Regions from separate parts of the Mus musculus genome. Here region 2 is reported to be linked to region 1. Evidence: microRNA targets listed by miRTarBase, many of them from high-throughput screens and not tested one by one. Region 1 holds a microRNA gene; the other region holds the end of a gene's coding sequence.
The links. Region 1 holds the annotated microRNA mmu-miR-669n (AUUUGUGUGUGGAUGUGUGU, at 1,905-1,924, opposite strand). A microRNA usually pairs through its seed, bases 2 to 8, with sites in the 3' UTR of a target mRNA and lowers its output. Matches are read on the target gene's strand: a 7mer-m8 pairs with bases 2 to 8, a 7mer-A1 pairs with bases 2 to 7 and ends in A, and an 8mer does both.

Region 1 (5,075 bases):
AACTAATTCTCTACAGATGGCCCATCCTTCAAAGCAACGGCAGGACCCAGCAGACAGATTTTACAAGGTATGACAAGCAGTTGTGGCTTTCTTAATTTCATGAAGCTGGCTTCATGGTAAAGTTGCCTGGAGTTCTCTTTTAAGGAAATATCTGTAGATGGTAACAGTATTGTAAGTGTTATCCTTCCTAATAAATGCGTGCGCGCACATACACTCACTCACACATGCACACTTATACTTTGTGTTAGGTATATTAGCGATATTTTGCCACTTGTCTATTTTCTCAGATTTAATTTTAAAAATACAAGAAATTGACAACCCCGGCTGAAGGTAAGTACTGGCCTGACTATCGTGAGTCCAAGGTAGCGTGTTCGCTTCCCTGGATTATTACAGTCATGAGTTCAGGGTAGCCTGTCTGCTTCCCTGGATTATTACAGTCGTGAGTTCAGGGTAGCCTGTCTGCTTCCTTAGATTATGACAGTTTTTCCAAGAGTAACGTTCAATATGTTCTTAAATTGTAGAGCTAAGAATGAAGTCCAGTGAGACCTTTCTCATCTGTGAAAGCATCAATTACTGATACCTAAACAGGAGCTTAGTGTTCCGTAAGTGACAGCAGCTAGAGAAAACTCTGTCTCTGAACTCTGGTACTTTCCTCTGGGTTATAACCCAGTCTTTCACAGTTTCCCCTAGACTGTATTGTCAAAGCTTTTAAGTTCTAACCTCCCTGCTCCTAGCTTTTTAAAGCCGACGTTGGTCTGGTTTTCTCAGTGGCTCCAGATCTAGCCTCTCCTGCATGTGTTTTGTTCTACTGCTTCTGGGTTGAGTTCTTGCTTCTTGTGTTTCTCCATTACTGAAGAGATCACTATACTGAAGGCTTAGGCTGCCTTCTGTCACCAGGTTTCCATTTTCAAAATATATGGCATTGCTTTTAAAAGCGTCTTTGTACATTTTTGACATAGCCGTATGAAGTGCTATCATTGGCTTTGATAATAATTTGTATTTAGTTATGAAAAATCATCATAAATGGCAGGAAGAAAAGCTCGATGTACCCTTTTATTCCTATTTCTGAACTACATGAGTTTGTTGGTCTCAAGAGGGCCTGGAGGAAGCTGCTGGGCAGCTGTGACTGCCTGATGTAAAAGCTCTGCTACCCAAGAGCTCTTCGGACACTCAGCACATGAGCCCCTCCAGCTAATGTGGCTTTCAGTTGTTGGCGCATCTTCAGCTTAGTGAGCCAGGTTTTAGATACGTTAGACCATTGGTGTGTTGCAATGTTGGAGGGTCTCGATCTTATGTGACTTAAACAGACTTTATGTATTTCCTCAGAGATTTTTCTTCATGAATAGTTACTATAAAAGAGTAATGATGTGTGCTAATGAGACCCACTTTCTGGTTAGGATTACATGGAGGCAGGGACTTTCCAGCATCAGAAAAATGAATAACAGATTATTTTCACCATTTTTTTTTCATTTTTATTTCTGTTCGTACCAAAACACTAATTGGAGAATATAGAAACTTAAAACTATGTTATTACATTTAGGAGTTTGTAATGTAGGGATTTCAATTGTATTGATTTATATCCATCTTTTTCATTTTTTTTTAGTTTTTGAAACCAAAGTGTTTTTGATACATATATATGTATATATATATATTATTCTTTGGTATTTAAAGTACAATAGAGAAGTTGGTTATTTACAAGTATTTACCAGTGGAAATACACATTTCATTTTTATCTGCCCAAATGAATACCATTTGTTACAGAACAACTCAGGGCTGGTGAGGTACCTGTATAAGGACACATGCAGCCAAACCTGACAGCCTGGGTTCAGTCTTCAGGCTCCACGTGGTAGAAGGAGTAAGCCAATGCCCTCTGCACATGTGCTGTGGGATGCACATACATTTACACACACATCCACACACAAATGTAAAGATCTGCAGAGTGGTCTGCACAGAGTGAAAGGCCCGAGTGCCCTTTGCTGCGCCCTGCTCTAAGTCACACGGTGGCAGGGGAAGTGTCTTTTCCCAGCAAACGTTAAGATTTACTGTGACTCAGTAGTGCTCAAATTTTAAGCTGCTACAAAGTTTCCTTCAGTTTTAATTGGCACACATTTACCTTTGATCGTTCAGGGAATGTGACGTGAATTTCTAAGCTGGTCGCATGTCTGCCATCTTAACCAGTGCCCTGCAGGGCAGCTGTGCTGAAGGCCGGTGGTTTATGGCTTTTCTTTGTTTTTGTTTTTATTGGTACCTATGTTTATAGATTGCTTTGCTGTGTGATAAATTTTATTTATTAAAGATCTACATATTGAGTGAGTTACTGTCTTAGGTAGTTTCAAAAAGAGTTGCATATATAATTTCTTTCTTGAGATTTTTATGGTTTTCCAGGCCAATATCACTTATGAATCTTAATAGTCCTATATAGTCCTTAATAGTCTACTATGTCCTACTTAGTACTTAATTTCAAAGGTTCAACATGTATTTTCTTGTCCTAGTCAGGTAACTGCTTTTTTGCTTGGTGTATTTGAGGATAATAACAAATTTAGGTAGTGGCATGTTTTGGATAATTAATGTCAGGTTAAGTCGAGTTAGGGTTCATATAAAATTTTATTCCTTAAGCAGTATTTTAAATCACCAGCAGAGGGCTCTATGTGTTCATGTATTCAAAATTAAATTGCTTTCTTCATCTTTTTTTTTTAAAACCTGATGCTCTTTTCTTTCCAGAACAAATTATTTAACCTTTTTTAAAGTAAGAGTGAATGTTCACAGACAGCATTTAAAACTAATTTTCTCTACTCCTTCACTTTCTTTTTCTTTTTTTTTAACTCCTTCACTTTCACTGTTCTGTTAAGATTGAGCATAATTTACCAGTTAGATGTTTAAACTGGTCAGTATGAAAACAGTTATGTCAGTTTATAAATATTCTGCTACACAGTTACTACTGTACTTCTCCTGACTGATTTTTTTTCCTTGATATGTAAGATATTTTAAGTATAGTCCTGAGAAATATTCCCACTTGAGTATTCTAATCTCTCCTATGCTTTCTTTCTAGGTGTATTTTTACACATTCTAGCCGATACACTGGGAAGTATTGGTGTAATTGCCTCTGCCATCATGATGCAAAATTTTGGGTTGATGATAGCAGATCCTATCTGTTCGATTCTTATAGCCATTCTTATAGTTGTAAGGTAAGTGGTTCAGACTGCTACCATCTGTTACTAAGTGAGAGGGAGGTGACAACAGAACCAGTGGCTGGGCACCTTCAGTGCAGATTATCATGTGGGGTTCCCTTTGCTCTTTAAAACAAGTCCTATCCAAGTTCTCCTTATAGCTTTTCCCATTTATATCTTGCCTGGAGTTTTAACATTTCTTTTTGATTTTTGACATTTAAGTAGTTGATCATAATTCAAATCTTAAACCATACACTGTATGTATAGAATAAAATCTTGGCAATGTAAAGTCATTAACTAGACGATTTTAGTTTATATCTAGAACTGACAATGTCAAACCCTGGTATCAGTGTTGCCCCTGCCAGACCCATCTTTAATTCTGCCATTTCATTGGTCTTTTCGCTTGCTCACCAGCCACGGAGCTGGTGGTCTATGAAGACTGTAGGGAGGTCCATCTGCAACGACCACTTGCTGCAGTGCATTGTGTAGTTAATATTATCTTCTAAAATCCTTTGTCCTAAAACACACTTTATTGTTGGCTTCATTTTTATTTTAAAACACTAGAATTATATTCCTTTATCTTGCTGCATTTGATCATTTTAAATTTTGCATAGTGTGTCTCAGTTGGAGCATTATCATCTCTCTGTAGCTGTCCTGTCAGCAGCAGCAGCAGCTTTTGTAGGGAGATGAACGCTGGTGAGAAGTAAGACCGCAGACTTCATAACTCAGTGTTGACGAGGATTGATGGAATAGATTGCCATGGGATTGCAGTGTTAAAGTTAGAGGTGGTTGTTTTTCAGTTTCTGCCCTAAGAATAGACATACATTTTAAACATGCAGATTATTCTTTAAATATTGGCACAGGGATCCAGCTGGTGTTTGGAAGCCTTTCTAGAGCTCAGAATTCCTTTCCCTCATCTGGAGGTCTTACCACACTCCCGGGAATTAGCTTGGATGTGACCACTTCCTGACAGACTTGCTCACTTCTGTGACTACCTGTCTTGCCGTGGGTGTTTCGAGGGCACTCTGTTGTGTTGTATATTATAGTGTTAGTTGCCCCTAATGGTTATTTAAGAGTATGATCGTAGTATTTCCCTTGCTCTTTCTCCACTCATTGTTACCAGAATTCTGACCACCGCCATTGTTTGGTGTGATGACCACTTTGTCCCCTCTTGTCATGCTGCAGTGACATTTCTTTGATGCGGATTATGTGATATACTGCAATTATCTTATCCTTTTCTCACTCTTTCTCTCAGAATAAAATTCATAATCCTTAATGAGACTTCCTGATATTGTTTAATTTTGTTAATCCCCCTCCCTCCATCTCTCCTGCCCCACCTCCAATCTCTGTCTTCTCTAGTGAGTCTTTTCTTTTCAGTTTCCTAACTATGGCAATAAGCCCTCCACATTCCTGTTCTTGTCTCCTCTCTCAACTCTTCCTGCATTTAATGATGCACCTTTCCCCTCAGCTCTCTAGATGTGTGTACCCCAAGTCCACATCCTTCCTATGAAGTATCCCCCTTCGGGGAACATTTCCTGATTTGCCCTCCACACTGTGTGGAGTTTCCCTGGAGCACCTTCTACCAAAGCCCCCTTCCAAAGCATTTAGCCCTCTGTCCCGAGTCTGCTTATGTTTCTCTAGAGCTCTGTGGGGCAAATTGGTGTCCTGCTATGATAAAGTGACCATAGGGTCCTCCCAGCAAAGGAACTGGCACACTTCAGATTGGAGGTGGAAAAACTTAGGCTTTTTCACCCTAAAGAGTTATAGATTTTCTATTTCCAACTTGAATTGTTTTCCTTGTTATCTTCTTACTCATTTCTTATACAAACAAAAAATAAATAATAGATAAATTCATGCGCACACAATGAATTTATCTTGCCACAATGTCTAATACATTTTTTAAAAATT
Region 2 (5,065 bases), not on the chromosome of region 1:
GGTGGCTACAAAGCACATGCGCCCAAGTGGGAATCCAAGGACTTTAGACCTAACAAAGTCTCGGAAACTAGTAGAACTACAACCACCTCTTTGTCCCCTGAGCTGATCCGCTTCACAGCGTCCTCCTCGTCTGGGATGGTGCCCAAATTGCCAGCTGGCAAAATGAATAACCGTGATCTCAAACCCCAGCCTGATATAGTCTTGCTTCCGTTGCCCACTGCCTATGAGCTAGACAGCACCAAACTGAAGAGCCCACTAATTACTTCCCCCATGTTCCGTAATGTGCCCACAGCAAACCCCACGGAGCCAGGAATCAGACGGGTTCCGGGGGCCTCAGAGGTGATCCGGGAGTCCAGCAGTACAACAGGGATGGTCGTCGGCATTGTGGCTGCTGCCGCCCTCTGCATCTTGATCCTCCTGTACGCCATGTACAAGTACAGGAACAGGGACGAGGGGTCCTATCAAGTGGACGAGACGAGGAACTACATCAGCAACTCGGCCCAGAGCAACGGCACGCTCATGAAGGAGAAGCAAGCCAGCTCCAAGAGCGGCCATAAGAAACAGAAAAACAAGGACAAGGAGTATTATGTGTAAACATAACACCACCAGTCGTATGCGAACTTAAAACAGAATTATTTCTATACACACACCTGAATACTTTGACAATGAGATTTAACTTGTTGAATGTGTTCTGTGAGATGGGGTGTACCACGACTATGGTGGGAAAAACCATTTTTTAAAGGACACATACGATGGTGTATCTCTCTGTGTAATGGTGAGCCATGCTGCAAGGTTGTAGCCTTGGCCCGAAGACAGAAAATTCTCTCTGCCCTGCTGTATCATAAAGCACACACTTAGTGCCCTGGAGCAAGTCCATGACTCCACATGACCTTGGAAGCTTTCTTCTCTCCAGAACATTTGGAAAGGGGTAGAAGACCATATGGCTTACTTGTTCCATAGCTCCAAGTGAGTCTGTAATAATGTTTGTGAATCTTGACTGTAACAATGTTGGGTTATTTTTTGTTTGTTTGTTTGTTTAATTATGTAAAAAAAAACAAAAACAAAAAAATAAGAAAAGAAAAACGCTTAAAAAAAAAAAACACAAACAAAACAAAACAAGAAACCCAGAAATACCCTTATCTGGTTCTGACCAGTGTGTGTGTAACTTTCCAAGATCTGAGGGGAAAATAGCTTTTGGGTTTTCATTTATTTTTTTGACAAAGACTGCACATAAGAAGAAAAGGAAAAAAATATACTCAGAAAAAAAGTATGAGACTCTTGCCATATGAACTCAAAATCTACCATGGCATTCACTCCATGTAGCAGGTTGTGGTGTCTCTAGAACCAATTGTTAGTTTCCTAATGCTTTGGTGAACCCATGTGGGATGACAAGCCGTTTGAAAAGCAGGTCCCCAGATCTAATTCCAATATTTGCCATTCAAACCTGTAACAGATGGGTTTGGGGCTGGTGTTATCGGAGCTATTGGTTTCACTTAACAAATACTGTCCCTGTCCATCAACCCAAAGTGTGTGAACGGGGAAATGTAACCCCCAAGAATTAAAGCAGAGCCTTTCTAAGGGAAGGAAAAAAGGGAAAGGGGGTGGACTGGATCTGTGAAATGCATGCAAACAAAGAAAAAAAAAAACCCACAAAAAAGAAAAGACAATGTTAGCATCTGTTTCAACAGACTGCAAGGGAGTTCCTAACTTGTAACACAACCACAAGTGGTCACACAAGCCTAGTCATGGCCAAGTGTGAAAAATCATAGTTACTTCCCCACCCCCAACATAATAACGGTTTCCATATGGTTTAACTTTGTAGCCTGATGTGAGTAAATCCTTCCCATCTCCTCATGTCTCCTTCCGCCCATCTTTTTTTTTTAAAGACAAATAAATAAATGAGTAAAGCTGCTGTGACACACACACAAAAGGAATTTAATAGTATAATATATATAAATAAATATATATACAGATATATTTATCATGGTATGTTTGATGGGATGACTGACACAGAAATCTGTTAAAGTCTTGAAGTGGAATGAGAATGTTATTTTAAAAGAAAAATAACAAAACAACAAAAAAGTAAACCTTAAAATGTGAAGAAAGTGTGAGTTTTCGTTTTGTCACAGTTAACTGTGTCAAAGAGAATTTAAACAACAAACAACAGAAACTTCTCAGATTTTGTTTACATATTTTACTACATTTTTGCTGGTATAATCCCTTAGTCGTGTATGTACCTACCGCTTTGAGAACTGTTATTTCCTTTCTGTCTGTTTATTTGGTTTGTGTCCCATTCTCTTTCTGTCTTCTTTTTGTAAAGAGGAAACAATGTACAGAGTAATTAAAAAAAAAAAAACAAACAAACAAACTGGTTTCATGGCCATAGCCATTCAAAAAGCAAGAAGATAAAGCAAGACACATACTCTCACAGAGGGCAATGTGTCATCTGGAGGGGCAGGCATATACAATTTCTTTTGTACAGATGAAAACCAATCAGCTGTTTAGATTTAGAAATCTACTCTTGCTGGTCTTTGTAAGTTGCATGAATATTTGACTTTGAAAAAACAATATCTTACAGACATGGGGCAGAAGGCACAGTCTAAAACAGTGGTAGCCTTTACTGATGTGTATGGAGAGCGGTGTTCCTCCTTATCTGAGATTTCAATGTTTTAAGAGTTTTCCTTTTTTTTGTTGTTGTTGTCATTAAAAAAGACAGGACTGTACAAGGATATCTAAGCACGATTTTAGATAAATGGCCCAGCCTATATGAAGTTGATTATATCTCGATGTCTGTGACAGATTGCTGTTCTTGGAGTCGTGAGATCTTGTGAACTGATATTCTCCTTTCTTTCTTTCCACTTTTTTTTAAAAATCGGAGTAAATACTCATTTGTTATATTCCTTTTAGTGTAAGTTAATATTTGGACAGTTTTACGGGAACTTGTGCATTCTGTACGAGAGCTTTCATTGGATTCCTGTTGTGTTCTTTGCAGACCCTGAAAGAGATTTTTTTTCATAATGTTGCGATGTTCCTGCTTTTTTCTTTTTCCTTTTCTCTTTGCTTTCCCATTTGCTTTTTCGTTCATGGATATGCTTAGCAATAAAATGTTCTTCCCAAAACCCTGTGTGATGGTGCATGTTTATTTTCTTAAAGTTGGTAAAAAATTTTGGGCACAGAGCTAAGTACATCATATTTTATTACAAGTCGAGAAAACTAGAACCACGTTCATGTGCTATAGGCTGTCCTGACCACGTTATTAATGCCAGAGTGATCCAAAGGGCATATTCACGAGATGAGCTAATCCCCAGTCTACCTGAGGTCTTTGGGTTCAGATTGCTGTGATGGACAAAGATGAGGAGAAGGTGCATTCCAGAAAGGTAAGATGGCAGAAAAACACTGAAAAACACTGCTGGAGGCTTTGCTATCAAAACTCTTTGGTAAGTGTTTTCTACAAGTCAAAACACTTTGAGCACTATTTAGTAATTATATTCAGACATACCCATAAACAGAAAGCTTTGGGTATCCTTTTTGCTAAGCTTCCCTTCAGAGTACAGAAGAAAATACAAAGCTTCATTGAATTATAAAATAAAACTTGAATGAGATTCTAAGTTTTACTAGTTTCTTTCTAGAGTTTCCACCTATCAGGTTCTTCATCTACTCAGTTTGGCTTGTACTGTTCTCATAGCAATGGAACTTTCGACACACATTTCATTTGCCAATGAGGTTGCACCCCATTTTGCACCATGATCCCCAATTTTATATTCAACTAAATAACTATCCTCTAACCAGTTCTAAAATATACCATTATGTGCCTTCAGGTTTTGTTAGTGGCATAGTTCTACAGTTGACTTTCTTGTGAATGGGTTGAAATCTGGTACAATGATGCCAAATTATATGAAGTTCTTTTTTATAATTATTATCTCAGATAATTACTTAATAATTACTTTTAAAAAATCATCAATGCTCATGATGTGCCAGGTACTCTGTTGCTTCTATCTATGGGATCTGTTAAATCTGCTTCAAAGATGTGAGAACACACCACAAATAGCTCAAGCAATGCTCGTTCAATACCTTTCAAGTCATGTTCATAGCCACATTATGTTTACCTGGAAGCCAATGCACAACACATAGACTCTAAAGGTGGAGTTGGTTGATGTCCCAGATGTACTACTGAGTATGCATGGCTCAATATCACAGACTCTCTGACATTTCTTTTCTGCAAAAGTATAGATGATAGATGATAGATAGATAGATAGATAGATAGATGATAGATAGACGGACAGATAGATTAAAACTTGGTGACTTAATTAGGCAAGGTAGGATTTTTAGGTTTGAAAATCACTTAAAGTAATATAAAGATCTTTAGTTTGTTTTCCATATAGAGAAGGTTCTTTATCCTAGCCTCTTTTGTGTTGTCAGTTGTGTCCTATTCTCTATGTGATAAGTTCCTTCTCTCTTTGGATATTCTTTATCCCAAATGAAACTCAGTAAAATAATTTACTTAATAATTATCAAACAGTATAGCCAAGTAATTTCCAGGCTTAGTAGGTATAACTGAGAAGCATATTCCCAACTACCAAACATATATCATTGACACATAGTTACACATGTGTGTCTAGCATAATTTAAACAAAGGTCTAGAAGTTTGGTTTAACAAAATAAGGACTTTTCTTTTGAAAAATGTTGAAGTTAAGAATTTTACAGCTAAATCTTGCATTGAAGTTCTCAGAGAGTAGCTTCCACTACAGTTCCCATGATGACTGAAGTGGTACTTGTTGGGGGACATTGCTACAAGTCCATTCACAGAAACAATGTTCCATTGTTGTTCAGTGAAAGAGTTGATATGGCACTGTCCCTTTCTGGTAAGTTTAAATTCTGCCCTGGGTTTGGGAATAAGAAGGCTTAGTTTCAAATCTGTCCCTCAATACAGGCCTGCTCTTTGTCAGCTGTGACACTTGACTCTACTCACCTCTTCTTGGAAACCATAAAGGTATCACATACCTTTGTAGTGTTGTCAAATTATGTAATCTAGTGTGGATATAATTTCTGAACACAATTCTTGGAC

Region 2: miRTarBase lists Nrxn3 as a target of mmu-miR-669n. Seed matches in the 3' UTR shown: 7mer-m8 at 1,100-1,106, 7mer-A1 at 1,649-1,655 and 8mer at 1,923-1,930.

Annotation. Positions count from the first base shown.
Region 1 is chr3:115,976,754-115,981,828 of GRCm38, reverse strand. Mir669n (microRNA 669n) reads right to left here and starts at 1,927; the gene lies at 1,874-1,927. Slc30a7 (solute carrier family 30 (zinc transporter), member 7) reads left to right here. Exons shown (of 11, transcript NM_023214.7): 7 at 17-67; 8 at 3,050-3,185.
Region 2 is chr12:90,331,817-90,336,881 of GRCm38, forward strand. It overlaps Nrxn3 (neurexin III), which reads left to right. Exons shown (of 20, transcript NM_001198587.3): 20 at 1-3,119. The coding sequence ends at 594. Among named protein-coding and RNA genes, the nearest start is that of Gm40538, 74 kb to the right of the region's middle.